Linked DNA regions of Styela clava. The protein of the gene in region 1 interacts with the protein of each later gene in a biochemical or structural test. Links are inferred from orthologs where the notes say so. Each region holds a gene or a part of one and is shown on either strand. Other genes may lie near its edges. The genes, in order: protein XRP2-like and ADP-ribosylation factor-like protein 3.

Region 1 (16,674 bases):
CCTTGTTTTAAAACACGATGTTTTTTAGAATTGATAAAAAACAAAACCCTACAAATATATGCACACCTTACACAGAGCGAAGCAGTCCTTACCCTTGACGCTACCGCCACCCTCAAACAAATTCCGAGTTTCGCGTAGCGAAAATTTACAGAACTTAACTTTACTTAACAAATGCGAAAAGGCATAGTGTTACGTCACTTTTTCGCATCTTGCTGATTGGCTAATGTTACGAAATAAAAAAGTAAGGCGATTCTCGGAAAACGCCCCTTGGAAAAATATTTCGCCCTTTTCCGTGTTATTGCGGGCCAGATGAAAGGACACCGTAGTTTGGTGATCCCTGGTATAATTGAAAGTGTAATTGAGCCAAAATTTTAGCAAATTACAATTACATTTACAATTACACAGACTGAAAATGCCTTAATTACATTACAATTACATGAAAAACTGTAATTAATTACATCAATTACAAATTACAATTGATCCAACTCTGCTCTTGAATTAGGAATCCGAAACGTTTACCTGCATTTAAACATGCCACGGGTGTCATCTCGCTCACTCAATTCCTTTTCATAGAATTATCATTTAGTAATTATCAGACTGTAAAATAATATGTATTCTCATTTTGTTTATGTTGCTATGCCGATCTTAAAGCTGTGCCTGTGTAATACCTCAAGTACTTCTAGTGGGCGTGCACATGTCAATCCTAACCGACACCTTACTACGCCCACTAAAAAGTATGTCGCTACAAAGTCACAATTACGCCATAGAGCTTGATAAAGTATACCTACGATCGCCGGAAATGGCATCTGCGCCGACTAAGAAAGAACTCACCAACGGCGGTTATCTCTCTCATATCGGGATCGTTGCGACGAGAAAACAAAAGAAATAGCTTGCTCGATTTCGGGTGATTGTCTGCGCGTCTTGAATGGCAGTTCGTATAATTTGAAGGGCCTTGTTACGTCACTGTGACGTAATTTTTGGATGACGCAGTCAGGTGTGGGTTAGGATTGGCATATGCAAAAATTTTGCTGCGCACACTAGAAGTACTTGAGGTACGGAACTACACTAGATCCGATTATTTTTACTGAATTACAATAAGTCTGCTTCATTCATAGACTCCTAACATTAATCAGATATTTGAATGATACTTCAGCAAAAAATAATATGAGGGGTAATAGCTTGAAAATCCATTTTATATAAGACATAACTATTTTTGTATTTGTCACTCCTAACCCCCTACCAGACTATGTCGTTCAAATATTGTCACAATAATATAGAGCTTGCCAAAGTATAAGTTAGCTACGATCGACTGAATTGGTGTCTGCGCCGTCGATAACTAACTCTCGAATGCCAGCGACATCGCCATATAGTTTTGTTTTTTTATCAATTTAAAAAAAAACATCGTGTTTTCAAACAAGAGCTTGTTTTGAATCAATTTGAATACCCCTCGCATCGCCGCGACAAAACGTTGCATCCTGGCAGCTGCACACGCAGCCGGAAATATAATTTTGAAAATGTAAGTAAAAATTCTTATTTTGATATTTACTTCTATTGCGCACATTTATCGCCACGTTTTTATCTCCACCAAAGTCATAAGATTTTAACCGGAATGCTTATCCGAGATATCAGAGAAACGTTTTGAGCAAGAAAAATCATGAAACTTAGCTCACGAGCCTACTACAAAAGCAATTAGATCAAGGGCAGCCTTCGGCAAATCGAGTGGGTTGCGATAATGAAGAATACCGGTATGCTTACATCGGCGGCAATCTACTTATATAAACGATGAGAATCCCTGGCCTAGGCTATGCTAATTGTGAGAGTCCTCTGGTGCAAAGACGCCACAACTAGTTTGTTATGACGCCATAATATGGTTTTCGAGTTCATGTATTGGCATTTTTCTCATAAAATGAAGGTATTATTACGGTTCGGTCAATTTATGCTTAGCATACTTTGTTTTTAAGGTTGAGGTGATAGCGTGTTTCAAGGTTATACAAACTCATTTATTCGATCAAACTCATTTCAATTTTTGCAAAGTGGTTTCGTCGTAGCAGGGTCGAGTGAACTATAGCTTGAGAAGGTGTGTATGAACCTCCATCGATATTTGTAGCGTTTTGAAGATTTTATTGCAAATAAGAAGCGCTTGGCAAGTTTTTACATCCATCTTTCTTCAACCTATTTAATACAGAAAAATCAAACAGTACAGCCATTTTGAACAAAACAGGCAGAAAAAACTTGATTTAAAACAATTGTTTCAAAACAATTCTTTTTGAACAAATCGAATATACTTGGACAGCAGTATACCGATACTAAGTAATTTTATACCATACAATCAATGCTCACAATACAGTATGAATACACTCATACAATGACATTGGGTATTAATAAAAAGAGAAAACGGTTGTCCACCTTACCAGGAGGAAACACTCTATGAAATAGCAAACAAAATATCGGAAGGAGTGATAAATTGGAATGATTTTCCCCTAATGGAGGTTTATAATGTTATTGGAACAGACAAATACTACAACAATAACAACAGACGACTTTAGCAAATATAGTAAATAGATAACAAGCTGGATTTGCACTCGTCGTTCAGTACTTGGGTTCGATGTGTCACACTTCATATTTTACATCAACTAATGACGATGTGTCTGTCGGTCACTGTGCAGAGAATTTGAAGCGCTTTGCATGATATAAAAACCCGTCTGATTTATGATAATGCAATGCCTCCTTGGCATGAATCAAATACTATCCCGGAAAGTAGGACTATATTGATGAGAGCTGACAACATTTCATCAAATTAACATCATGACAATCGGTCGATTCAAATTGCGGAATTTAAGACAGCAATACGGAAAATGGCGTTATCAAGGACATGTAATAAGAAAATCACAATTTGCAACTTCTGATTTTACGAAAGCTTCAGTGTGTTGTTGTCGCTTATTGCCTCACTCTTATATGTACCCATGGACACTCACACCCTGTCATCTGAGACGATTACAACAATGGCATCAACTGTGCAATTTATTAACGAGATAAATAAACGATTGACCATGAAATATAGTTCACTACAATGGAGGCGTCACAACTCAAGACGATTTATTCAAAGAATGGTTCGACTATAAAAAATGAATTGCACGTGCATTGAACATGTAACATTATGCCAATAAGGAATTAATATGAGAAAGCTGTGACCTTCAAATGAAAGCTCTCCCAAAATAAATATAAAGAAATATCTATTGCTGTTAAACCAGGCGATGCCAGCAGCTGTCACATGCATCTATAACGTTCAAATATATCCTACAAATGCAACATTTGTTGTATTCTCAGTCATTATTACTAGTTTGCAAAAAAGTTATGTTGGTAATGGTAATCTTGCTTAATAGTTGGAGAAAGAAGCAATTTGTTTGCTAGAGATTCGCTCTAACGTTCAATGTCGACGAAAAAAGCTACCACATTCTAAATCCTCACTGTGGAAATGCTGTTGCAGTTATTTGCTTAGTTTAAGTAGATTTATGTTGTTAAGCAACTACCCCTTTCCTTTGTTTTCTATAGATTTCAATCACAAGTGATTTATTATGAATTTTAGGAAAATCTTTGGTGCATAAATATGGCTTGGACAAGTGAACATCGTGCGTGTATTTATTGCGGAATGTTTTCTCACTAAATAAAGAATATGTAACCGAAAAGGTTCTTGCTAATAAATTCCTGAAGACCAGTGTTGAAGCTCAATTTCATTTTGTCATTAAGCACACTTGATACTGGGCAGAAGGTAGCCCTAGAAAGATACGATAAACGCGAGCGAGTAACAGTGTGACGTGCAATTTTTCAAAATTTTGTTTCTTTTTTGATAGAAGGAAACTGCAATTTCGGTTACTTCTGCTCGATATGTGCAGATGCTGCATGATGTCAAAACTCAAAAGTCTTGGAGAAAATGCAACGATATGATTTCAACTATATGGACGAAGTGCACAAACGGCAATAAAAATCAACAGACATTTTGGAAAGACCTTTACAACGCATATGGTTTATTTGTATGGGGATATGGGAGGATCAGCACGTTTGCTTGACCTTTCACCGTGTGGTTATTTTCTATGACGTTATATTAAGAATGTTGTGTACTAGCAACGACCAAGACCATTGATGAACTGAGAGCTGCCATTTGCACGGGAAATTACATTGGAAAATATCTTTAGGATGTGCTTACAAATGACAAAAAATTATTGCAGCTGTATGGGGCCATCGGGAAGACGTTGTTTTAAAAATGTAGTTTACATAAAGTGGCAATCAAAAGCTTTCGTAAGAGTGTAATAAGAATGTAACAAAGACTCATCTATTTTAAAAGTATACTCGGGATCAGGGCTTCCCAAACTAGGGGCCGCAGCCCTGGAACGGGCCGCGAAACGAATTTTAGGGGCCGCAAAGAGATCACCAATTTTACACAAAGTATCATATCTATTGTACTTTTCCAGACTCTTGATTCGAAATACAATTATTAACAAATAATGTGAAACAAAAATTTTACGATTCCTAATGAACACATCATCATACTGTGTAAATAAGACAGTGTCTTCAATTTTATTTCGAAAATAACACTAGGGCTTATTTTCGGAATAGGTAGAGAATAACGAGATTTTTTATTATGCCAAATATGAATTAGGGCTGGGCATTTTCGAATACCTTGTGATTTCAGAATCGAATCGAATAATATTTTTCGAATCTTGAATACTTGAAAATATATAATTGTAAGCGATTTTATTATAGTAATTGGTCCTCTCAACAAATGAATTACCTAAGACATAGAATAAATCACCCAGATAGATTACTCAGATAGATTACCCAGATAGATAGCTCACACAGAATAACAAACACGTTTTATCGATAACTCACTACAGAAAATAGTCATATGTTGGAATTTCGTTGAAAAAATATGACTCCAATGAAAATACAATTGGGGAATTCCCCTCCACCATTAGCGGAAAGACAAAAACAAGATGGCGGCGATTCGAAATTTAGCTCTGAACCGATTCGAATAATTTACTATTCGATTCGATTCAAATATTCGATTCGAAATGCCCAGCCCTAATATGAATACGGATTTCCATTACTTATAAATAGCACGTCTTCATTTAAAATAACTGCTACATATAGATTATTAACCATTTAAAAAGTAGAAATTTCCTGAGTAGAACTTTCTTGCTATCGACTAGGACTTCATTGTATTGTGACGGCATGGTACTTATCTGGAATTATTCAAACTTATCATAAGACAGCGGTTTGTGTGACGCCAAATTATCACGAAAAAACTCATGGCGCACCTACACGAAAAATATGCTGCCTGATAATAAAACACAATTTTCAATTTTGTCATTGTTAATATTTACTTATCTTATCTCTGCCTGGTTTCATATGCCCTCCAAAAATATGCTCAAGTTACGACTACCCGTGAAAATACGTATTGATACCTTTCAATAAAAGACTTTTTTTTTGCAATGAGTTTCATATGAAGGAACAAACAAAACATAACGACAGTCAGTGAAATCATACTTAATTGGCCTTGGTAGAAAAGTCTGTTTCATATAAAAACGAAATCGCAAAGGGGATAGGAGTCCGCTACGCTTTTTGAACCAAGAAAAATAATCTTTATCTACAGAAAACCGAATTTTCAGAATTAAACTTTTTTATTGTAACACCATCACAGGTAAGATCGATATAATCTTCCCCTTTTTCTGTAAAAGTAGAAGATATGGGTTGTTTGAAAGGTTCACGAATCACGAAATTTTGCGACGTCCTAGCAAAATTGAAACGACGCACTTCCGCGGGATTAGGTCAAGAAAATTTGGGCTATCGACTAAGTCTTTTTTAAAAGGGAGCGCTTATATTAAAATAATTTCTAAAATTCAGGCTTGGTTTTCTTTTCGGGGAAACACAGTAGAATCACCGCGCTTGCACAACAATGTATATTCTGATCGAAAGACCCGATTTGCGTGTGCTTGCATAACAATGCCGGCTTTAATAATTGTTAAGCTAGCGGTTCCCGAAGGCGATTTGCTAAGTGAGCCTCAAAATTTATAACATATTTTATTTATTCTATATGTTTTATTGTTTCTCATTGTTGCAAATGATGTGTATACGAATCAAATTCATTTTGCTGTTCTATGATGTGTACGCTTTGTTACGTCGGGTATCCTAAATGCTGCAATTTCGTAGGCTGCAGTTTATTCATTTGCTGAACATGAGAGATTTGTTTAGCATCTTAGAGAAAAACCAGGCAGAGATAAGATAAGGACATATTAACGATGACAAAATTGAAAATTGTGTTTTATTATCAGGCAGCATATTTTTCGTGTAGGTGCGCCATGAGTTTTTTCCATGATAATTTGGCGTCACACAAACCGCTGTCTTATGCTAAGTTTGATCAATAGGAGTGAATAATTCCAGATAAGTACCATGCCGTCGGTGGCCAGACATTGTAATTCATCATTTAGGCCTGCATAAACAAACATTGAGCCAAGGCTGGACTTGCTATGCAGCAAAAAGTATTCGCACCCGTTACACTGAATAATTAAGTAACTTTAATCTGAATAAATATGTGCTTGTTTTTGTAATTGAGTAGGCCTACTAAAAGTTGAGATATAGCTGTGTCAATAAAACATCAAAAATGCATATTTCGAGCTGTTTAGCATTATTAGCGCGAACGAGGGCCGCGGTAAATCTCAATATATTAAAAGGGGCCGCGAGCTCAAAAGTTTGGGAAGCCTGGTCTGGCTTGAGAGTGGTCAACGGGGATGCGATTTCCTGATTATGAAAGTATACAGAATAATGTATATGCGGTCGCAAAAGTATATATATATATATGGCTAGCATTCATATGCTCACTTTTTTAATAATGTGTTTATGATTGTCCAGGCGATTACGACTTGAATTTGTTTATTATAAATAAAATTATCCAAAACCTGGTACCAATTCCAATAAAATGGAATAAGCTTTTTAAAGAGATATTGGGGGTGTTCCTTGTACGTTTGGTTAACTGGTCATTACATATTATAAAATGGTACATAAAGTCGATTGTATACAGCGGAAAAAAAGGGTTAAATAAATTTTTTCTCGAAAACAAATATAAGATTAGGAGGTAATCTAGTCCAATTAGGTATTGTTGTATTGAAGTAGCTTGAAAGTTGAACAACGTGAAAAGCGAACGATTGATAGTTCAAGAGCGATGCTATATTGTAATCAGGGTGAAGGGCGTTTCAAGTTTATATACAACTTAGAGAGTTAATATACCCATATAACATTTTAAAACGAATATTTTTTCAAGGCATATAAAATTTGCAGTACCGACTAATGCCAAATTGACGTTTTTTTCTGCGTTCCTTACATGGCCCAAAAAGTACCAACCATACATCTGCAGCAGCTAACGCACAGCATCTGAGTGCTATTGTCTGTTTCTTTAGAATGAATTTCTGAGTTCATTGGAACATCGTTTCCATTCTACAATATAGCAAAGAAAAGCATTATACTTTTGATGCGATCAGTCAAAAGGATCTCGAGCTAAAATGACCCTGTATCTAAATGTCTTACATTTGTGCAAGACAAATTGATCTGAATAATGGTGTCCGAAAACAAGTCTGGGATTTGTCGTTCGTATGACCATGTATCAGACATTCATTCATTATTTGAACTTTTTTTTGACAACTCGTAACATTTCATGTAGAGCCCCTGTCATCGATGATAGATTATATGTGAATGATCTTCATTAGCGAAAGTAATTCGAGAGATACCAATTAACGTCTTGCTATAATTTGAGCAGCATATTGTTACATGATTTCATCTTACATCTCATATTCAAAATCGTGGCTTTATCTGCAAATCTCCAGCAATGAAACACAACGCCAATGACAGGATAGGCTTTACATATTTATCCCGGGGGAGAGGAAAGCCGATAAGACGGCTTAATCATATGGCGAACCACGGCCTCTCGTCCGGTTACCAGGCCGGGTATGGGATTAGTTAGCCAGTTATTTGTTTTTTCGGAAGCATGGACTTGATGGTGGAGGAAGCCGTAACCGACCAGCGGTTACGTGAACCACCCTACGGTGGTGAGGAGTCCAGCAATTCTCTCGCACATGATCATCCCCGCATGGGATTCAAACCTGCAAACCCACGAAGGGTAATCAGAGATGCGGTGGCGAGCGTATTCCTAACGCTTAGCACGATGCACCACACCGCCGAGCCCTAGTATTTCATTCTTGTGACTTTGGCGCTTTCTTTCAAATATATAGTTGAACCTAGTTGAGTTATATCGCATTCTTCTTTCACTGAACGAATGCTTCAATAAAGAATTCGTTCAAATATTCAGCTACTATCCAAATATTCGTATCGCATTGTATCGGGGGGTGCTGTCTTATTTTGAATTGGGTAAACAAAAGTTTTCAGCTGATGGAATTTACAAAATTATGGCGTCCAAATTTCATCAAAAATTCATCGGCATACCCTTTGAAGTAGAACTTCGTAAATAAATCGTCAAATTACAACTCATGTAGAAAATGTTATCTTTGACCTAACCAACTATTTAAATATCAGGTGACTTTAGATAGGCGACCTGAAAAATAAATGACACATATGGCAGTTATTTCATAATAGTTTTGTTAGGTTTTTTGGTCTCGTTAAAAGATAAAAATAAGCCATTTTTAAATTTTTTCTATACTTTTAAAAGCGTTTCATAAGCGTCCAATATATCCAGATCTTGACTCATTACGCTGCGCCTCAAAAGTAGGCACAAATTAGACTACCAATATATAATGACAGTGATAAACGATTTCAAAACTGTCGGAGCAAATCAGATTACCGTTGTTATATTGGACAATATAGTCTGCTAACAAAAGATTACCTCCATGAAATATAGCCCCACTCACAAGAACTAATTTGTCATCGAACCTTGTATTGTAACCTTGAGTACGAAGTAGAGCTATGGGTTGTTTGCTAAATTCAGGTTGTTGTTGGTATTGTAATTGTTGTTGGGAAGTCCGTAACGAATTGACCAATCCATTACAAACTTTCAGTCCTTAGAGATGGAATATGCCTCTAAAAGGCTTCTACTGATATTATATTTTTCAAGTTTTCACGGACCCAATATTTCCCCAAATATTTTGGCGTTTCATTGTATATAATTAAAAAAAATACTCTTTTCATTGTGTAATGTTATACTCAATTGCCTCCGTTTTACCTGTCCGTCAAACTTTTCTGCAAACTCCGTGCTCGTACCGGTACCGTGCGATCGTGCACGTATATTTGATTATTGCTATGTTATATTATGTTATGCACAAATAAAAAAGAGCGAGTTAATGAATAAATCAATCAATGACGCATGTATAAAATATTCTCTGCATGAAATTTTATTTTCTTAGTATATTTTAGAATTACTTTAACAATTTTTATACGGTGTTTTTTACTTTATACACTCCGAATAACGCTGTGATATGTGTTACGGACTAAAGTTGTCCTTCCTAAAATAGTATAGACTTGGCAAAGCTGGGTTATTGGTTGGTTTCTTGCCTTGTTATATGGCCATATATTGTTATCTATGCTTATCCTATTTGTTATAATGGGACAAAAAACAGGTCACCTAATTTTAAGTTTCAACGTAAATCAGTTTTGCAACTTTCGCAATCACTTCGATTTGATATTTTGCTGTTGATTTGGCGAGAGGAATGTTCAGCGAATCTATTTTTATTCAATATTTTAGGCACTCTCGAATCAGGTATCCGGAACGTTCACCTGCATGGCTGACTAACCTTCTCTGGAAAGAAGGAGCTACTTTTATTTTAACTCAATGGTATTGTTAATTCGTGTTTCCCAATGATCTTGTGTATGCTTTTTGTATATCTTATGTTTTGTCATTACTTCACGAAAATATAAACTAACATTCAAACATAACACGGGTGCAAGTTTCGCTCAGCCAATTCCTTGTCATAGAATTATCATTTAGTAATTATCAGACCGTAAATTAATATGTGTTCTTGTTTTGTTTATGTTGCTATGCCGAGACAGAAGCTGTGACGCGGCTGAAAGTATTATCGACCGTTTGTCGACCGCTAGCCCTGTACCGGTAGTCTGCTTTTCCTTTCCGGCTCTTTGATTGTTTTAACATTCCTCGGTTCATTCTGAAAGCAGGAAATACCGTTGCAGAGTCATGGGGTGTTTATTCTCAAAGAAGAGCAATTCGCAGCCTGAAACGGAGGCACCAAAAAAAGAGTACAGTTGGGACAAGCGTACACAAATTAAAGTTGAGGACTTCGCGTTAGACGGGCTACAAGACAAAACTGTGGTTAGACTTCCAGGAAGCATTGATGGTCAACAATTTATAATTCAAAACTGCACAAATTGCAAAATATTTTTGTTGGATTATACTGCTACAGTCACAATTGACAAATGCATTGATTGTCAGATTGTGTTGGGGCCGATTAAAGGATCACTTTTTTTTAGGAACTGTAAAAATTGCAAGTAAGTATGATTTTCTTCATTGCATTTCTGAATTACATTCATTCTTAGACTCATAACCCAGATATTTGAATGATACTTCAACAAAAGATGAAATGTGGAGGTGATATCTTAAAAATCCAATTATATTTTGATACTCTAGTTGACAAGGCATAACTATTTTTGTATATGTCACTCCTAATCCCCACCTGACTATGCCATCCAAAATTGTCTCAATAACATCATAGAGCTTGCCAAAATATAAGTTAACTATGATCGCCTGAAATGACATCTGTGCAGACCAGATGATAACGAACTCACAAACCCCATTGATCTTATCGTATCTCATATCGGTATCGTTATGACGAGAAAACAAGAGGGTATAACTAGCTTGCGTGATTATGGGTTATCGTCAGTGCTTTTGGATTACCGTACGTTTATTTGGCGGGCCTTATACCTTATTACGTCACTGTGACATCATATTGGCATAATTTTTGGATGACATTGTCAGATGGGGGTTAGGAATAACATACGTAGAAATTATTTAGCTACCTATACCAGAAGTACTTGTGTTACTATACTATACCAGACCTGGTTCTTGTATAGCCTACTAAGACAGTAATATACTATACTATACCAGACCTGGTTCTTGTATAGCCTACTAAGACAGTAATATACCGGTAGTAAGTAATCTTCTACCATAAATTGCTCACAATTGAATTACTGATTTAAAAAGAGGAAACAGTGGTACTCCCGTAGAGTGTGTACCAGGTTAGGGTTCGGCCATAGTTTTATTCTGATTTTAGATCTATTACGAGTTCAGGAACTGTCTGTGTTAGTCAAGTGAATATACCCCATGTAAATTAGGTGAACAGAATTAGATACCTCCATATTGGTACACACACTTCTGTAGCGCCGAAACGGTTGTGTATAGATTAGTGTTGGGGGCCATTGGCTATGGGTTGACTGAAACTCGATAGGACTGAAATATGAGTGCCATTTAACAGTGAGGAGATAGAACATGGTCATACCAACAAGATTTTAATGAATAGGATATTGTTTCAGTTTACAAAATAAAAACACATCTGAAAAAAATCAAACAAAACATGACATTCAGATAAATGAAAATTGTGAATTTTGAGAGCAACAATCAGCGATGGTCTAAATTGCATATTGGTATGGTATATTCTGATACATGATTCATCAAATGTTATTCATATTTCTAACAGGTGCTTATGTGCTTGTCAACAGTTTCGTACAAGAGATTGCTCCAGGATGGATATATTTTTATTTTGCATGACACAACCTATTATCGAAGCATCCAACAGGATGAAGTTTGGGTGTTATCAACTATCCCACGCAGGATTGGAAAAACAATTTGCAGATGCTGGATTAGAAATCATGAACAACACTTGGAACAGTATATATGATTTCACTCCAAACCCAGAAGAAGGAGCCAATTGGAGTCTCATACCGGAAGAGACAAATATTGATCAGCTGTTGACTTTCACCACAGAGAGAATGGAAAATGAAGATGGCAATGATAGCCTGAACAAGAGTTGTTTACCTGAAGATATGACACTTTCTTCCAATTCAGAATGTAGTATTGTTCCAATGACATCAGGTGAACGTGGTAGTACATCTGCAGAATCATGTCTGGCTTTATTTTTTCACCATGACCGAGCAATTCAGACTTCAATGAGTGTTATTCGTCAGCTTCAGCAAAGTCAAATCACACTTGTCAGATCTAAACAGATTCCTATTCCTCAAGAAACTGCTTCAGATATGTTTGACAAATCAACACAATCAAAACTTCTAAAAGCCACGAATCAAGGCAATGTAATTGGGCTTGAATTCAATGGCCCGGATTGTTTAGAAAAGTGTCATGAAGCTACCAACTCCCTTGCTGAGGGGCTTCTTACATTTGTAACAGACTCAAATCATCATATTGAACGTTTTTTCACTTGCCTGGATATGCAAATGTAATTGACCTTAATACGCTTTGGCATTAAATCTTATTGTTCAATATCATCTGTTGCAAAATTCTTTAAATATACCTAATTGAGTGTCTGTCTTAAAGTTAAATGCAAAATCTGTCATAAAATTGATTTGTATATTTAAGATGGAATGCGAAATTTCATGACAATGTGGGGGACGCATTTAATTCTTGTACCTAGAACTGTTGAAATTATGTTTTTGTCGTGTATATTGTGCATGAAATGGTTTTGCCAACATCTCATAGGCTATACTAATTTAACTGCAGTGATTTATGGGTTTATTACACAAATTTCTTTTGTAATCATTGTTTTATGATTTGTTCAGACACATTTAAAAATGATTAAGACTTGCCAGCTTTTAGTTCATAATTATTATTCTTGTGTCAGATCAATTTATTTATGACACAAACATATGTGTCGATAGGATTAAATAGTGGCCTCATTTGCATATTTAGGTAATGCTCTTTAGCAGGTGATCAGTATTAATCAATAATTTTTGAAAATAGGTTTGCTGGCTGTTATGTTCATGATGTAACAATAGTAAACTAAAGTATTAATGTTTCAGTCAATTGTCAAACTGTGCAAAGTGTATCAATTATAATATGGGTTAATATTAATCATGCTTATTAATAGCATCACGGCACTTGTTTTAAGATATGTTACAGCTCAAATTTCAAGATATGTCACATTTTACCCTGTTTTTGTATAATGCAATATTATTGATAATTTGACATCCTCATACAAGCACTGTTGCTGAGAGATCTATCTTATCAATGTAACGAAACCTGTTAAATGACAGATGTGCTGCAAAAACAGAGCTTTCAGTTTTGATCTGCACTGCTACCATTCATATAATCTTGATATTTTAATTTTATACTGCACTGTTATTGTATTGTACTAAACAATTGTTTTGATACTGAACATATAAAACAACTAATTGTATGAAGTTGTGATTTTATTTATAGCCCCAATTGAATTTGGACCTGCATTCCCTTTTTTGTAAATATACATTGAGCCAAATCTTGGATCTTGATCCAAGACCTTCTAAAATATTACCCGATTCAATGGGGCTGCCGACAATCCCCCGCATCAGTTGCCAAAATTAAAACTACATATGTGTGATATCATCAGTGGTCATGACTTTATTGTAACTGAACTAGTTCTTGAAACAAAATGGTACCGGTACTCATGGAGTGTGTGTACCAGGTTAGGGTTGGGCCATAATTTCATTCTGATTTTTCCTATTTTCCAGTCCCTTTATACAACTTGATGTAAAGTAGGCAACAAAATTAAGTACCTCCATATTGCCATTGGTACACACACTACTTAAGCGCCAAAAAATAGTGTCTGTACCAATGTTATTAGGCTTTTTGCTGCTCCAGCATTTCAAATCAGATGATCTAATTGCCATGAACAGGACCATGATTCTACCGAATTCGACAGAAGCGTCCAATTTTCAGACCAGATTAACTTAATTGTCAGACCCTGGACTTCATGGTGTTGGCACGAGCGCCAACGTCAAGATGGTCAAAAATCACATGACAACAAAAGCCCAAATAACTTGGCGCGGCGATGTGGCTCAACGGGCTAAGCGTTAGGAATACGCTCGCCACCGCACCTCTAACTACTCTACGTGGGTTCGCAGGTTCGAATCCCATGCAGGGATGGTTATGTGCGAGAGGATTGCTGGACTCCTCGCCGTCGTTGGGTGGTTCACGTAACCGCTGGTCGGTTACGGCTTCCTCCACCACCAAGTCCATGCTTCCGAAAACAAACAATACAGTAAAACTAATCCCATACCGGTACCCGACTTGGAATGGTAACCGGACGAGAGGCCGTGGTTCGCCATATGGATAAGCCGTCTTATCGGCTTTCCTCTCTCCCGGGATAAATATGTAAATCCTATCCTAACTTTTGAATGCTGATGTATTGACATACCGTAAATCCTCGCTTTAACGCCCGATCTTGATTAATGTATCTTCAGCCTAAACGTTAACATTCCAATTCTTGGTTACGATGCAAATTTCTACATCGTGAGAATAATATTCAACTGCTAGAATATAGTTGTTTCTATTATAATAGAAAAAATCAGCACCAATTCGTGACCATGGTCTCGTTAGAAATTCTGTTCCTCTCATTGGTTTGATTCGATCTCGTCTATATTTCTCACAAAGCTTACAGTTTCTCACAACTTTTTTTACGAGACAGTCCTGGCCACCAAACAGAATTATTCGAATGTTCACGCGATATACTCACACCTTGATGTGCATCATGTAAATATCTCAATATGTCTGTTCGGAGTATTTCTGGAATCACGAGCCTGTTTCCCTTCATCAAAAGACCACCATGAATGCTGAAGTTTGCTCGCTCGTTCCCATAATTATTCACAGGACCGTATAATTGCTTATTGTTTCCCGGCCATCCAAATTTAACATTGTGCATCACCACAACTTTTATGATGTCGTCTTTTTTCGATTCACGTCTAATTTCATCCAATCTGGAGTTTGAAGCAGGTAAGTTAATCATTATGGATTGAACATAACAGTCCGTATCAGCTAACAACTGATCATCTTTGTCCAACTTTCGGATAGGTCCTCGGGACAACGCATCAGCAGTGTATAGCATTTTACCCGGAACGTGCACAATTGTAAAATCATATCTACTTGCATAAGCGACAGGTCTAAGCTCTCATGAAGATTACTTTTGAAGCATAACAGCTCCAAGTCCGTATCCGCTTGAGTCAGCAGATACAAAGGTTTCCAACTCTGGTTTCTACATTGCAAGTATTGGATCTGACGTTAGTTTTCCTTTACTTTCTCAAATGCTTTTTCCTGTATTGGGCCCCATTACAAAGCATTATTTTTCTTCATAAGGGCACGTAAAGGTTTTGTATGTTCTGACAAATCAGGAGTAAATTTTATCAACTGATTCGCAAAAATCGCCTGAGCGCTGAAACACCAGTAGGAGTGGGTAAACATTCAAGTTTCGTAGCATGGAACACGCACTTATCAATGTTTAGCGTCATACTCTCTTCTTGGAGTCGATCCAGAAGTTGTTTAGAATATTTATCATGCTTCACAGCGTCGGTACTCAAAATTATGTCATCCATGTGACAAGTCGTATTGAAAAATCCTTCCAAAATGTGGTTCATTCGTTTTTGGTACAATTCTGGGGCGGATGAAATCCCATAAGCAGTGTTCCCTCTAAGGTGTGCGCGTGTGCGCGCGCACACAGCTTTCAGAGGGTGCGCACACGCATAGATTTACTGCGCACAGACCTATTTCGATGTAATGTAACAATGTTCTCGGTTGGCAGGTTGAGAAAGTTTGTTGTTGGCTCACCCATTACCCGGTTAGAACGCCAAAATTTCTTCATTGATTTTTTCACAAATATTAGTCATTTCCAAAAAAGTGCGCACACACCAAAATTTCTGCGCACACATACTACAAAAAATTAGAGGGAACATTGCCCATAAGGTAGCCCCCGGAACAAGAATATCCCAAATGGTGTAATAAACGTTGTCAGTTTACGACTTTCTGGGTCAAGCTCGATTTGGTAAAATCCGGAATTCGCATCCAACTGAACCTTTCGCCATACTCTCCAAAGTGTGTTCTACAGTGGGCATTGTGTAAATTTCACGTTTTACCGCAGGGGTGGGCAACATACGGCCCGCGGGCCGCGTCCGGCCCGCGGCGAGATTTTGACCGGCCCGCTGACTGTATCCAACCACACTCTGTAATGTGGTCCGACGCATCATTCATGAAAGTTGCCGATCGTTCTACTCTCACCGCATTGTCAGTGCGAGCTGGTGAAATAAACAATTGCCTTGGTGCAGGGGTTCTCAAACTTTTGGTGTTGCGGAGCCCTTGAAAAGGTTGACTATTATTCACGGAGCCCCAAAATAAATGTTAAAATTGTTACTTTCAGATTAATATTCCTGAGCAAGTTGAAAGTACTTTACTTAATTTGAATGCTGAACCTTTTTTTATAGGGTTAATACAAGTCATACATAAATCTAAATTTCAAACATAAATTATATATACTAAAGCTGTTAATTTGACACTTGACATACATATTAATAAATTAGGGGTCGAATCTTTTTTCTTTTGAAATTTTTGGAAAACTTAAAAGGTCGCTAATAACGTGCGCGATTGCATTTTGTTACAATCGCCGTTTTTTTCGTCAGCATGGCGTGTTTTTG
Region 2 (16,643 bases), on another chromosome or scaffold:
ACACTGGAACAGGACTGGTCGAATTGTAGAAATCCTACCTTACAGACAATACAAAATCAGAGTAGATGGCTCGGGAAGAGTGACTATACAAAACAGACGATTTATACGACCTTGCATCATCATTCAACCTCCGCCGATCATGCCATTCTCACCAACAATTCCCCCCAGCGGAGAGAGAGATGAAGACATTGGAAACTCTGGGAGTCATAATGCAGGAACTACTCAAGACACTCCGGTGGAAATACAACCAAGTCATCATGTGAGCCCATCGCTAACCAGCAGAGCTCCAAGATTGCCTAGGGCGCTTCAGAGGTTACAGCCCTACAACAAGCCAGGACGACTTGAGGAGAACTATAATGTTAACTGAACTGGACAAAACATTTCTTAATTTAAAAGACTCTGCGCCTCTGCCGGAGGGTGGAGATGAACATTACATTATATTTCATTGCATGTTTTAACTGTTTCGTTCTTGTTCTTTAGATTGTATTTTACTTAGATTGCTTAACTTGGTTGGCCTTGTACTATAGTTAATACTTCATGTGAATTGATTTAAATAATAATCATAACACAAAAAACTCATTAAACCGTTTATTGCGTGTGTTCTGATATTTTTAAAAACAATAATCGTTGTTTACAATGGATTGTTTCTGATATATGGAAGATTATAAATGAGGCTAATGTATGTACCGGTAATTCCAATGTAAATATCATTCTACTATATGAAATTTGACACATTGTCAGATTGTGGGAAAGCTGTATCTCGGCATAAGTTTTTATTTTTTATTTTTAACAAAGGGCATATTATGGTCGTCAAATGACTAGTTTTTCAAAAACAAGTAGTACGGACACAATCTGATCATATAACAGAAATCATATGACTTATTCATGACATGGTTCGCTTTCTCGTGTCTATACAGAGCTGCACATTATTAAACTGAAAAAAAGCACAATCTAAAAATGTCTCTATTGGAATAATCATAAAAAGTAATCCGATATACCAAAGGAAAATATTTCACTACAGCATTAGGGAGTAATGAGCAAAAAACAATTAGCAGAACGTGAACTTTTAATAAACAGAGGACATTACAGCATTATGACACCACGCCCAGACGATGCACCTTATTTAACTTGTATTTTACATATATCGAGATAATCGCAGAATCAGAGAAATGTGTCACATTGCTAGGGGAGAAGAAAATCGAAAATCATTTAATCCAGAGATTTCCAAACTCCCACAATTTCAAAAAAGAAAACTCACAAATTTTAACCTCATGTATGTCTGCTTGATGTTGGTTTACATAATATAAAAATAGCTCAAAAACTGCTAAAGTAAGACACAGACTTCAGGACTTTATGATAAAAAATAACCTGTTTTGCCCTTTAACAGTTTTTATGTTTCACTAAAGCACTAACTGCTTATGTCAGTTTGTGTTTTTCATATTCCAGTAATTACTGAATTACTGAATTAGCAACCCCCAGATATGTAGAAAAATACACAAATAACTGCAGAATGATGCTTATTCTTCACAATGTACGCCACATCTTTCTACCGTATCTATCAAACATAGCCTACCATATCGTTAAAAGATACCGATAGTATTTTAATGAAACAGACTGACAGAGCTGAACAGAGTCAGGTACCGGTAGTCTAAACACAAAATATCCTAGCTGGGTTAATGCAGTACTAGGAGGCGTTCTCCCAGTTTGTGGTTTGTGAGGGCTTTAACATGCCTCGTCCCATTCAAAACCTGATAACAGTCTAATAATTTATTCTATCTTATTTGTACAAAGTCGACATACTGACATACCGCGAGGCTATTTAAGTATTCGGCATACTGGCGTACCGTTACAAAGTTTCAACAAAACAGCTCAACTTTAGATATAATCGTTCGAAATTTTAGACTAAAAATTCCTTTTGTTTTTGTGCTACAGTAATAAAGAAATAATAGATAAGTCCTCCACTTGCTTACGTCACAAGTGAACACACCACGCTGCCCGATGGCCATTTCCCGAACGCACATAACAAAAGCAACGAACTCGGCGAAGATCGCCTTTTTCTATTCTCGGCGACTTAGCTGTTTATTTATTAATTATTATCCGCGACCTGCGGATATAGTATACCGGTACGGATGCTCAGGAATAAAGACGTACTCACGGCTTTAGAAATGTATGACAAGCACACAAAATGCGGTTAGTTCTGACAGTGTCAGTTATAATACGTGATTCTTAAATGCAGAATGGAGCGGAGGAACTTTGGTTTCCACTGCGAACTTGTTTTTCGACAGGTCACGTGACTTCATTAATGCTCTCAGCTGCGAAATCCTTTTACGTCGCCAGTGGGCGACGCGAAGCTTTGCTGTAGTTTTCCCCATCCCGGTTTAAGACGACGATCCACATTTTTTGTATTGTATCAATACTGCAATACTGTTTTAGTAATGAAAACTCATCAAGAAAAGATGAACATCTTACGGACAAAGATGTCGGAATCAAAACGAAGTCCTCATAAAATGAGGACCGGGTTATTGGAAATTTAATAAACGACTGATTGGATTTTATCCAGAGAATTGAATCAATATTTAAGGCATGGCAATTAAACTAAGTAACTTTGATAATGCTGAAGAAGGAGCTTTTTGGAACACATGTATATCCAAAATAAGAATATGGGCAACTCATTGTAGTAAAATAAAAAAAGAAACAGTTATCAATGGGAAGATTAATTACTAGTAAAATACAGAGAAAATACAGGGAAATGCAAGATAGAAAACGAAGAGACTCTTCAAACAATACGTGACACAGAATTAGAAATTATGAAGTATTAATTCAGTGATTTCCCTACACCCCCCCCCCCCCCCCCCCTATAGGGGGTGAACACCCCCCCTAAAATTTCAAACACCCCCCCTAATTTTGAGGTGCGATTCCACACTGAGGGGTTCTAAACCGCAGTCTGCGGGCCAATTACGGCCCGCGTGACGATTTAAAATGGCCCGCCGAACTTGAGTGAAATAGTTTAACCCTTCATGTGGTACCTTTTGAGTTTTAGATACCGTCTATTGTTACATCATTATCACAGTTTAAGCACGTTTATTTCGTAACAATTGAATTATTCCGGTATCTTATGTATACGTATGGGTATTAGGATTACACACTGCAGTATTTTAGATATCAGCCGTATTTTAAGAAAGCTTAAAGATGTCACAAAACGAAAACTAGGCACTGAAAACAGACTTTTTTTAGATGAATGACAGCGTTGTTTATTTCTTTATTGAAAAGAATCAAACTTCAGCGATTTGTCTTCTTACCAACAAAATATTTCGGTTCTGAAGGAATACAACATTATGATCAGTTGACGAGCTTATTCCAAAATTTAATTCATACAAAAGTCAAACAAACATGTTCAAAAAAATTAGAAATGTGTAACAAAACAAGCCATAACTAGCCATTCATACAATGCCAGATGAGCAAGTAACTTCATTAGTCACTATCAGTTGCAACTTGCAAATTACTTGTTGAAACGTAGTAATATATATTTACGGTTGAAAGCCGTGCTTGTTATCTATTCCCCGGGAATTCTATCAGCTAAATATTATATTTATTGATTTCATTACATAACAAACTGCGATGTTAGGTGTATCTAAAATCAAGCTTAGAGCCTATTTTGGTGCCTATTTCTCAAAATTTTCTCAGGGCGCTTGAGCGTGTCGTCCCGCACTTTTCCTCGCTCCCTTTTTCTGGCCCTACAATTACATTCTGCTGTGGATTTTTGCTCGCGTCAATCAACTTGGGGGGCCCCCATGTAGCCTACATCGTTTCTTAAATACATACCATTTTTTTAAGAATACAAATAGCCTAGTTTTATATCTAACAGCAAATTATTTACCACCCCCTAAATTTTTAAACACCCCCCCTAAAAAGAAAAGCTGGGGAACATACTGAGTATTATAAACATAAATCGAAGGGGCAATAATTAGGGCAAGAGTTAAATGTTGAATATTTGTTAAATTTAGAGAAGTCCAAAGGTATAAAGCAAAAATTTTCAAGAAAGCCTGACAATACTTTAGTTTACACATGTGATGGATTTCAGGAAAAGCAAGTAAAATTTTATAAAAAGCTTTATCAGAGTGATGAAAATTCGAACATTTATTGTCAAAATCTTTTGTTAAATAATTCAAATCAGCAAAAAGTGTCAAACGAGCAAAAACAAGAACTGCTAAGCGAATTAACAGAAGAAGAATTAGAATAAGCTTTCAAACAAATGAAGTCAAATAAATCCCTTGGTCTGGATGGTCTAACAAAAGTTTGGAAACAATTTCGCCCAATACTTGTGCTAATTTATAATAGTTATCTTAAACAATCGTGGCTGTCTCAGAACACAAGTCTTGGTTTAATAACTTTAATATATAAAAAAGGATATAAAAATAAAATGAAAAATGGACACTTATTACGCTACTTAATTTCGAATATAAATTAAATAAATTAAAATAATATAATAATAATAAATCTCAAAATATTAAAAAAAAACTTGAAATTTGGCAATTATTTGATTAGATGGGTAACGCCAATGCAAAAATAATAACAAATGGATATTTATCGAAATAATTCAGTATACCACGAGTTAGACAAGGTTGTCCCCTTGCCCCACCTTTATATATAAATAACGTCCGAATTGTTAGCATCCAACATTCGATGCAATTATAGGTTTTCGAAATCGTACAGGTACTAGGGTAAAATATAAAGGTTTTGCGGATGACACTATTGTCACATTAAAAAGTTTATCCTCTATAGACGAGATATTAAAATAGAAAGCTACAGGCTCAAGAATAAATATTCCAAAATGCAACATAACGTTGTGCGGATCAGCAAAACGGCTAAACATAGGGCCATCATACAGGGGTATTCAAATTGAGAATGAGCTGAATATTTTAGGAGACTTTGTAGGAAACAGTATTGTATCGCGGGATAAAAACTGGTTGAAAATCATTAACTCTATTCAAATTGTAGTAAATTTGTGGCAGGGGCGAAATTCATTGATGATAGTAAAAATTATTATTGTCGAATCATCAATGTTGTCTTAGGTGTGGCACATTGCCAATTAGGAAATTATGCCAGAAAACTTCATTCAAAAATCAAATATGAACTCCCAAATAAGTACAAAATTCTAAGTTGGAAAATTTTGCCTATTCTACCCACAGGAGACAAATTAAAATATTGGTTCGATGATGAAAATGGAAAATGTGTATATATATATTTTGTAATGAAAATGAAGAAACCTGCATGCATTTCTTTTGGTATTTTGATTGGATATTAGACTTTTGGCAGTGGTGCAATATAAGGGAAATCAATTGTGAGGTAATTATTTCTAATAATATTCATAGTGAAGAGGAATCAATCATTCAATGTGGAAAATCGGCCATATGGGAATTGAGGAATAGTGTCAAATATGATGATGTATTCCAAATGCAATGTAACTTAAAGGCTATTTTTAAATGTAAACTCCTAGGTGTAATTAGATTAATGATTAATTTCGGCGGTCCCTGTTGAACCACCTTCATTCATTCGTGCATGCCGTGCCTCGAATCAACGCGATATCGCGTAATTAATTTCGTCCGGGATTGCCAAGAATGACGGTGATAAGACCTGATAATTGGAGAAGAAGTGCACCCATAAATCGTTTTGTTAATATGTTGTTGGACAAAGTCGTTTTATTATTTTGTTGTTCTCGTTTTTTATGTTAGAATTTTCCTTCTTATAGTTGTGAAAAAATCGCATTTCCCTTTAATTAGGCTACAGGACCCTGGACCGATTGCTTTGAAATTTTCAGTGGTAAAGATTGTATTTTTTGCTAGAAGGCTATTACTTTTATCTATTTTAAATATTTCTGTGAGCTACATGGGATTAGTTTTTTGTATGACGTCATCAAAATTTGCGCATATTGTGGCGGTGCCACGAACGCATATCTATATATAATTCACTTTCCTATGAATTGCTTTCGACATCCTCATTCTCGAAAATCAACTTTTCCCTTATGTCTATACGTATACTGTGGTTTTTGCAGTCGACACAAAACAAAAATTCTGTGCAATTTTGGTTATTTTTGACACATATGCATAAATTATTTTGACACCTATATTTCTTACACTTGCAGTTTGCCAACTCCATAACTGATTTGGATCCATCAAGTTAATCCGCAAAACACCATCATCAAAACCCCATTCATGGCCAATAGGTGGGGGAATAATTGGCTTCGGTTCTAGACAACAGTAATTTGCCCTCAGAACATGCTTCTGTAGTGAATCATTGTTGGGTGTGAGAGTATAATCCATATGTTTGCCGGTTTTGGAAAGGCGTGCCCTTGTATCATTTACATTTTTTATATCCTCTTTATACAGTGATAGAACAAATTCTTCAGTTTTATTTATAGATGCCCCGTTAAACTCAAAAGATCTTCATAGTTGAGAAAAAAGCTTAATGAGTTTCAAGTCTTCCAACATCAGTGCGATGGGAAGTTTCAAGTTTAGAAGAATGCCAAAGAATTTCAATATGAATAGCCATCTAAGCTGTTTGCAACTGTTATGATTTTCATATACCTTTTTCGATCCATTTTATTCTTACAGGTATAGCGCTGATCGCAGCAGCGACGATAGCCTGCGTTAGGTTGGATTGGTAGAACATTGGTGGCGTTTTCTTTGTAGTGCAGTATCTGAAATGACGAATAAAATCATATTTGACACAACATAAAAATACCATTAAATACTTCTTATACTGCACATGGAATTTCATCTGATGTACTACAGTCCTGCAGTGTTTTCATGCTAGACTATATCTACACTGATCTAGATGAATCGCACAGTTTGAAATGTCTTGTATTTTTTAAAACATCAACTGTCAGCCTACAACTTGATACATTATTTCTCACCTCTCAATCGCTTAATATCTTCAAGACGGCCTAACATCAGTAAAATTGGTTATTTTCTTTCTTCCTCGCAAACGTGCATTACAAAAACGGTCATTATTTTCCGAAGCAAATATGCTGTAGTAGCCTATATAGTAGTATAAGTCTGCTGAATATTCAAGAATCGTCATTAAATTAATCATGTACCTTTCATACAATCATAAAAATACCGTATCGTTGTTTGTGGCATATCTTTCAAGGTATAGTATAACCTTTCGCCGCACAGTACTTATTTAAAAACGTTATATGAGCTAGTGATGAACTAAAATTGCTATTAGGATCTAAGGGTGTTTAATAACTTACTCATAGTTTTTAATAGCGTCTTAGCATAACTTAACTAATACCTAAAAGCCGCCATCGGCTGATCAAATTTTAATTGTTCCGTCATGCAGAAGTCACCGATCATTGGCCAATGTTGCCCAGAGAATATAGGACAGATGGTAGCACCATTGAGGTGTATATAACCCATTGAGGTGTATATATACACCTCAATGATATAACCCAAGGGGTAGCACATATTTCTTTCAGTAAAGGCGTCTTTTTTGTAAAACGTGCAACTTTTGGAAATGGGAACAAGATATTATTTGTTACTAAATTTCTAAGGAACATTTTGATATTATTTCCAAGTAGTCCTCCTATGTGCGCTACGAAACTGAAAGATAAACGGCTTCGTCTCGCGGCCTAAGGCGAACGATCATTTCAGCACTGTGAAATAAGCGACATGGCGGCGAATAGTAATCTTAGCATAAAGCTATCGAGCAAACAGAATTTATTGAAATACAGTATTGTGTCCGACGTGTACTAATTTAATAAGTTGTGTATTTTATAGCATTGTTAGTTATGTGATTAATACATAATATACTTTTGCAAAAATTATCTTGACATGCGCTTCTGGAGGTTCCCGACTCCCCACAATGATATGGCAATACTGTAAATGTAATATATAGGTTTCTAATTTTTTAACCTCAGTTTTTATATGTAATTTTAAAACGAAATAATAACCAGTAATAACTGTATTTTACAACACCTCGAGAGATTTAATCTTTGATTGATAGAATTTAAAATTAATCTATCGCATAATCCGGCACACCACCACAATAATCGATCACGTGATGCTATTGGTCAGCTGTGCGTGACAAATCAGATGGTTTGTTTATTTGTTTTCTAGCTTTCTGTCGCTAACAACGCCATTTTTTGAAGTATAGCAGGTGTTTAGGACTTCTACTGAATTAGAACGGCGTTTTTCTTATGGGATCGAGCTTTTTTGATTATATACTTCAACTATAGCTTTATTTCATGTTTATTCTGCAGATCTGATATATTTACATTCACTAATATTCAACATAACCAGTATTCAAGGAAAAGACAGAAACAGAAAAAGGGTCCGTACCGCTGTGGCTGACGTTCTTCTTGGAATAGATTGGAAACGAAATTGATAAATTGTGACTGAGACGAGAATTTTGTTCATTACTTCTTAATCTTCGACAGAAATTTTGGACTGCAAATTGAAGATTAATTTACAATTTTTCTGCATGATTTTTGACAACAATTTCTAAACTTTTGTGATACTGTAGAAGATCTTGGAATACAATGGTGAGACATTAGAGCGTTATCGCTTTTACAAGTTATATATTTTACTATTTATTTAATTTACTATGTATCCATATTTTGCTACAACTTTCAGGGGTTATTGAGTTATTTGAGGAAACTTAAATCTGACAGTGTCAAAGAGATGCGGATACTTTTGCTTGGTCTTGATAATGCCGGTAAAACAACAATTTTGAAGAGTCTAGCTTCAGAAGATGTCACACACATTACCCCCACACAGGTATTAAATTTTATTGGTAATATCACAGCGGATAGGCACCTTTCTTCTTAGTTTATCTAATAGTAGGCTACGTAGTAATAATGATTCTAATAAATTCCCGAACACAAGACTGAGTTTTGATTTACTGTAGCCTTGTTTGAAAATAATAATTCACAAATTCATGTGGACCTATAAGACATTTGGCCATAGATGGGCTGAATAAATATCCATGGAAAAATACACACATATTTACATACTCAACCGGTCTAATTTTACCTAGCTGTCAGGAAAGCTTTTAAACCTATCTGTCTAAAGAGTACTATTATATGGGTTAACCAGTTGTGATGAATTTAATAATCATTTTAATGAAGACAGTAGATATTTATTTGTTGGTACTAGATGCACTTAATAATGTACCATAATATACAGATATATCCTCGCCTAAAATATATGAACCAAGTGAGTTATGTTATAAAAAACTTTTGCAGGGTTTCAACATAAAAAGTGTTCAAACAAAAGGATTCAAATTGAATGTGTGGGATATTGGTGGTCAAAGGAAAATCAGACCATATTGGAGAAATTATTTCGAAAACACGGATGTGCTGATTTATGTTGTGGATAGTGCTGATAGAACTCGATTAGAGGAAACAAATTTAGTGAGTAATATATTTTGTAGCAATAGGACTTCTACAATCTTAACTGATCTATGGATACATGTAGCATTTTATCAACTATTAGTGATGCAAAACCAAATTTTTGAAGATTTTTCTTAGGGTCCCTTTATTTATTAAAATATGGAGATGTTGTTCCACCATCAGTTTGAGGTGTTCATCTTTATAGCCAAAATTGTAACAAAATTTTAGACTTTGTTTAATACATCCCTTAGGAAATTGATTAAAAATGGCTTAGGCTTTTCCAGCATATGAGTTATCAAATGGCTATATACAGTGGTGGAATTCAATTCAATTTTTTTGTCAGCCGGTTCTTTTCACCCGGTTCTGTTACAAAATGTTCGCTGATCTCGTAAAATTAGCGAACCGGCTGAATACAAAAAAACGATTTTGACATTTAGGAATTAATTTTGTAACATTTTCAATACCCTAAGGAATTGGAGGAGTTATTCAATGAAGATAAGTTGTTGGGAGTTCCAGTTCTTGTCTATGCCAACAAGCAGGACTTATTACACTCAGCCAAGGCGTCAGAAGTAGCAGAGGGACTCGGACTGGCTAAATTACGAGATAGAAATTGGAATATACAAGGATGTTCAGCATTAAGCGGAGAAGGTCTTCAGGTACGACAAAATAGACATTGTGTTTGCCGAACTGTGACAGTGCTATGAATTATTTGTTACCTTATATATTATTTATTCATTGATACGCAAACTGACACAGCATAAGTAAATTGAGATGGAGCAATAAATATTAAGTTTCAACAACTACAGTAACCATTGATTGCAACCATGCCAGATGGTGTGTGGGCCTTGGGAAAGTTATTCTCTACTTAACAACATATTAGTATTCAAGTGATTGGTTGTAGGTGGCTTCCACTAGTTTCTCTTTGCCTATATTGAAACTCCAATATGAGAATTTAAGCATAACTCGCACTCTGGCTTTTGTATCGTCCAAACGTGTGCATGAATACTACACCAGAATACAAAGTAAGATTTCATCCCTAGCGTCGCACGAGTGAATATATTTTTTCTTAACTTATTCTCATAGGATGGCATGGAATGGGTGATGAAGAATGTTACTAAACACAAGAAAAAGTGAACAACCTTGTGCTTTTTGTTTAATTGTAAAATGGGACTTCAGGTTCAATCCAGCCAGTGGCATCCCTAGTTCTCCACCATCACTGCGTTTTGTAAAATCTGTACATCGTTTGTGCTCATTGTGCATATATATCTTGGTTCTTTATCAGACCGAATATTTCTAAGTATTTGCTAGTTTATAGCAACAAACCTCCTTTCTGTACGTCTTGCTTTTTAAATTTATCGACATAACCTGCCTAAAAGTGTATATGGTGCTTTCAATGGTACATTAGGAAATGACATAATTGTATTTATATTTGCAAGCTGTAAAAAAATGCTGATATTTATTAAATTCAATATTATTTGTAGAATTCTGCCATTCTTTTGTTTCTTCATCTGTGCATAGTCTCTGCGGTGGAATAGTCAGTTTTGCTTACTTAGGTACACGTCTCAGCTCATGAGCCAGCCATGTCGTGAATGATAGGAGAGTAAGAGACCCTGATTGATGCATGGCCGCTGTAGATGTTGGAACATAAGTCAGCAAAGTTGTTACTCCCAACAGTACCTAGAGATATGTTAGAAAACTGTAACCAGATCTTCATTACTGAACAAGGCGCACCAGCACTAATTGCTGAAGGCAAGAGGCAAGCACCTCTGTTTACCTTAAGTGTGCGGGGATATGGACCATTTAGTGATATAACTACCCGCATAAATTTCTCCAAAATCAAATAAGCGGCCATCTACCCGCATAAATTTCTCCAAAATCAAATAAGCGGCCATAATTTGCAGTTTTACACACTTTGCTCTTTCCAAGGATAAACAAATTTTTTTAGGCAATTCCACATTATAATGATTTATAGTCTCGGCAGCTCTTTGGCACTCTAGTAGCCACCCATAACATCTCTTGGAGACGAATCACTGAGTGGGGGCACTTCACCTTGATTTGGGGAAATTTCCTCATGAAAAATTATTATACAATTTATAAGATTTAATTTAACAACAACTCACCTGAATAAAAGCCATTCCCAGCATAAAATTAGATGCAAGTATGGCGCGTGAATGGACACCTGAAGATCTTCGTACCATATACCACATACTCATGACTGATGCTAAACTAAGATGACCCTGCAAGATAAAATAATACCGGTGAAACTGTATCGAGGAGTCCAACAATCCCATCCCAGGGGTAGGCAATTACTTTTTTGAGTGGGCCTATTACATTCATATAAAAGACTTGGTTACTGCGACGGAGGGCTAGAACTCGATATGAAAAACTATGAATAAAAAACAGTTTATTTACAACAGCTGGGCTAATGGTTATATAATAATAAGAAGCACTAAGTAACAATTCGGGTCATTATGACATTATTTTTATCGACATATTCAACAGAAATTCAACAGACACAAATGGGCCAGATGAAACACCTCAGTGGGCCATTTCCACGGATAGTAATATGCCCACTCCTGCCTTATCCCCATAGGATGCAAAGCTGCACAGGTATCGGTGGTGCAGTGGCAAGCATGTTCTCAAAAAATCCATAACTGAATTAGTTTTGAATGAAATGGACTTACTAATATTCTATGATCGAACTGCACAGTGGTAGGATTTTCAAATATATTAAGCCATTTCGGGGTGAACGCTGTTAGGTCACTTGGTATCCACCTGTCTGCCATCTTGGGATATGAATTATATACAAGTCCTGCATCTAGACCAGCCACAAATGCACCTGGAGAACAAAACATGTGTTCAGAAGAAATCAAACAATAATCGAAGATATCTAGTGTATCCCAATCAGGCAGCTATCAAACATCGATATGCAAGCAAAAGGGTACTCCCGTCATGTGTGTACCGAGACAGGCCATAATTTTTTTCTGAATTTCCTTATTTCAGTTCTATTATGAGTTTGGGGACTGTCTGTGTTAGGCAAGTGAATATACCCCTTGCCCATAGGCTTCAGTCCCACAACTTGATGTAAAGTAGGCAAATAAAATTAGTTACCTCCATACTCGTACACACACTTCTGGAGATGCTATTGGCCTCAACTTCAATAATAAAAAAAACTTCAAAAACTAAAAATTCCAACCTGATAGAGCAGTAACAAAAACAAGGCTCATTAAGCCATATGCATGATATCGAAGCACCAATTTTCGCGTTGTTGATAAATTTAAAGACTTTTTGGAAAGTAATTGCGTTAATGACATCCATAGCATCCCAGTATAAAGTAGAAATGCTGAACCCAAGTGTGTAGCGAGTCTGTACTGGCTGACCCTCGGTACATCTGAATCTGCAAACCTCTCTTCGAGTCCACTCTTAACCATGAACCAACCGATAAGTCCCTTGAAAAAGAGAAAATCTAGTTAAGGACCGACAAACACTTAATTTAGAGTCAGAGTGGAGTGGAGCTGGAGTCTTATTTTCAAATTTTGCGAAAATGAAGTCGGAACTGCAAGCTTTCATTGGGTATAAAGGACGCAAATTTTCTACAGAAATTAAAGAAGATATAAAGTTTACTTAGATATAAAGTGTTCTTAAATGTCTATTAAAGAAGGTTAGCGAAAGTTTTGTTATAAATATTTGATTTTCCCTGAGCAAGGGTCAGAGTGAAATTTTTTACGATATGGAGATATTTTGAAGCCAATTGTAAATGAACAGAAGATCTGGTAAAGTACTGGAAGCTGAACCAAAATTTTTGAAATCTGGTGACGCAGCTATGGTCAGACTTGTTCCAAGCAAACCAATGTGTGTCGAAGCGTTCAAGAATTATGCTCCGCTTGGTCGTTTCGCCGTCCGCGACATGCGACAGACTGTTGCTGTTGGAGTCATCAAGGAAACTACCAAAAAGACCGGGAATGTGAAAAAAACCAAGGCAGCAGCGAAGGTCAATAAAAAAGCAGGAGCCAAGAAGTGACTGGAAGCATCTGGCCCCCCATCAATTGTTTTTCAATTGTAAATTTTCCTAATTTCAGAGACCTGGTTCCAGATTCCCTTCTAAAAAATACTACCTGTGAAACAAGAAGAGTTCCCAGTAATCCTGACTTGATTTTCATTCCTCGATTTAACCAACCTTTCTTCCAGAAGTAAGCAAGTGGTAGAAGATAGACGACACCAATTAATCTTCCCCACATTCTATGACTGTATTCCATGTACCAGATAAATTTAAATTCTTTCAATGTCATATCATGATTCAATCTGAAAATGTAAAAACTTGATTTTTAATATTAAACTAACCTAATGTTAGTCAAGTGAGGAATGTTTGGTTGGGTATCTCACAGGCTGAGAGCAAGTCATTTCTAGCCTCAGGTCAGCTTAATCATTGTTGGGTAGAAATCCTTAAAACCGAGTCACAAGTCAAGTCACAGGTCTTTCGAATCGCAGTCGTGGTTAGTTAAGTAATTTTATTTAGAGTACTCGAATCTCTTCAAGTATTTGATAACCAGAGTTAACCATTAATGAAGTGATCTAGGATTTTAGTGTTACTTCGCTTCATCTTGATTATTAATATTCGATTTTTAAACAGACACAACTTTATAACTTGACTTATATTTTTAGTATTTTTCCTAAATTTTTCCTATTTTGAATTCATTGCATTTTCATTTTATTCACAGTATTTATATTTTATCAGAATATTTATCAAACACTTACATTCGGAACTCAGGAAATTGTTTATATTTGTTGAACTCATTCTCCCAATCCTCTTGTGAAGTTGGTGGTTTCATACCTTTGATAAGATGCCAATCAACCATAGATAACCCAGATTCTGTTAGTCGAGTCACACCACCCAAAACGACAGCACCAACCACCTACCCTGACAAAAAGAAAAATAAATCAGTGGCAATCACCAGGAACATTTTTGAATTGATATCTATAAAAACACAGACATATTATACAGTCAGAATACAGACCTTCAAGATCATAAATTATATATCAAAGGACAAATTTTTGGCCACCTTGGGCCATTTTACTGTCCTCCATAGTCAGAAAAGTTATTCAGTTGCGCAGCATTTTATAACAATCTAAACTTAATATTTTTCCTATTCATACATTGCTTGTCTACAACATTTTTTTTTCAAGACTCCCAATTTGTCGAATTCCCTTCGGTTAACAGTATTGTATTGCATGATGATATGTTATAAAAATACCATCTCATCATGAGTGACTCACTCACTCTTCTGTCAATAATCTTCCCATTTATAATTGAGGACTCATGACAGTGTTTTTATGCAAATTCACATATAAACTCATCAATTAACTCAAGTTAAGGCATACTATCTACCCATTCTGAAATGAGTACGAAATGATTTGAATCATAAGACTGTCATGTCAGCCTTTCTTTACTAACTGAGAAATGTAAGAAATAAACAAACCAGGCCACAACATCCAGCAAGCCACCATCCGATTATTTTTTGACCAGGCTGATGAATTGGGAGTTGTTTTGCAATATCTGCAGACTTACGCAAAGGTGAAACCCATTTGAATACAGCCGATCGCTGAAAAAAAAGTTTATGAATGAATAGGATTTACATATTTATCCTGGGGGAGAGGAAAGGAGATAAGACGGCTTAATCATATGGTGAACCACAACTTCTCGTCAGGTTACAAGTCTATGTCGGGTATGGGATTAGTTAACCAGTTATTTGTTTTTGGAAGCATGGACTTGAATGCAGCAAATCAGTAATCCAACTAGAGATCCTGTATTCAAAAAGTCAAGTGATTTATTCTCTTGTATAGGGCAAAGCAAAAGCAATGTATAAAAAATATATAATGTTCCTCATTTCAGCATTTACCGTATATCCCGGCGAATAAGTCGCTTTTCTAGACCCAAATTTTTGGCCTGATTTTGGGGTGGTCGTCTTATTAGGCGAGTATGGTAATTTTGATTTTTTTGGTGTCGCCTTATTATGTATTAGATATTGTTTTTTTATGGTGGACTCAATTGCGAGTTGAACATAGTTAGATTAAAATTTAAAGACAGTTTGAACTCCCAAAGTTACCGTATTATGGATTGAATATTACGCTACAAGAAAGCGTCATTATAGGCTATTTTTGTATTTATAGTATTGTAGCTTAGTTCTATGATAGAGTGCTGACTGCTTTTTAAATTTTCTAACACCATATTATCAAAACAATAAATAATGAGATGCAAGATCTAGAATAAAACTTATAACAGAATCAAAACCAATTGTTTTCATTAATTTTTTAAATCGAAACCCACCTGATTTTTTCGAAAAGCTGAATACTGTCTGTTTGTGAGTAAAGATAGACGTGCCTGTTGAAAACCTTTAGATAAGGTAGAACACTTCAACCAAAGGCTCATCTTTTCTGTATTGTGATACAGTAGGTGAAAGGCAGGAATCAGACAATCATCGAAAAAATGTCAGGGATTAGGTACGGCACGGTACCCTAGCTTACTGCAGTACTAGAATAAGTATAAGTTTATTTGACTCCATAATCAGCATAACAATAAAATGATTTGTAAAAAAAATAAATAAAAACCGATTATGAAATCAGGAGAGCAAACAAAACCTTAGATAGGTTTAAAACGTACAGAATGTATAAAAGATGGAAGGTTTTGCCAAGAAGAATACGCGGGTCTAGTATAGTTTAGTACCACAAGAACTTCCAGTTGGGGTAGTAAAACAATTTTTGCATATGTTATTCCTAACCCTTACCTGACTATGCCATCCAAAAAATAAGGTCACTTCGACGTCACCATCACGTCAAAGGGGTTGCCAAAGTATAATTACGATCGCCCGAAATGGCATCTGCGCCGCCGATAAGAACTTGTTAAAGCCGGCGATCTCTCTCCTATCGTGATCGTTGCGACGAGAGAAATAGCTTGCTCGATTTCGGGTTATCGTCTGCGCATTTTAGACGACCATCCGCATACTTCGGTGGGCCTTATTACGCCACTGTGACGTCGGAATGACGTAATTTTTCGATGACGTAGTCAGGTGGTGGTTAGGATTGACATATGCAAAAATTGTTGAGCCAGGCCAACTAGAAGGGGATGTGGTACTAAACTAGGATAGGATTAGGATAGGATTTATATATTTATCCTGGGGGGAAAGGAAAGCCGATAAGACGGCTTATCCATTTGGCGAACCACGGCCTCTCGTCCGGTTACCATTCCAAGTCGGGT

Evidence for each region.
Region 2: the proteins of protein XRP2-like (region 1) and ADP-ribosylation factor-like protein 3 form a complex in vitro, tested with the Homo sapiens proteins (2 studies listed by BioGRID). The link is inferred for Styela clava from reciprocal best matches to the Homo sapiens genes RP2 and ARL3.

The regions. Positions count from the first base shown.
Region 1 is NC_135256.1:21,844,536-21,861,209, forward strand, and holds protein XRP2-like, read left to right. Parts: upstream 1-9,838; 5' UTR 9,839-10,189; coding exon 10,190-10,500; intron 10,501-11,705; coding exon 11,706-12,462; 3' UTR 12,463-13,415; downstream 13,416-16,674. UniProt on the Homo sapiens protein: Acts as a GTPase-activating protein (GAP) involved in trafficking between the Golgi and the ciliary membrane.
Region 2 is NC_135258.1:8,471,419-8,488,061, forward strand, and holds ADP-ribosylation factor-like protein 3, read left to right. Parts: upstream 1-8,257; 5' UTR 8,258-8,539; coding exon 8,540-8,542; intron 8,543-8,633; coding exon 8,634-8,777; intron 8,778-9,244; coding exon 9,245-9,412; intron 9,413-9,861; coding exon 9,862-10,047; intron 10,048-10,474; coding exon 10,475-10,525; 3' UTR 10,526-10,882; downstream 10,883-16,643. Other genes in the region: heme A synthase COX15-like, read right to left, coding at 10,937-11,068, 11,512-11,628, 12,076-12,230, 12,588-12,840, 13,507-13,693, 14,147-14,304, 14,869-14,991, 15,717-15,818. UniProt on the Homo sapiens protein: Small GTP-binding protein which cycles between an inactive GDP-bound and an active GTP-bound form, and the rate of cycling is regulated by guanine nucleotide exchange factors (GEF) and GTPase-activating proteins (GAP).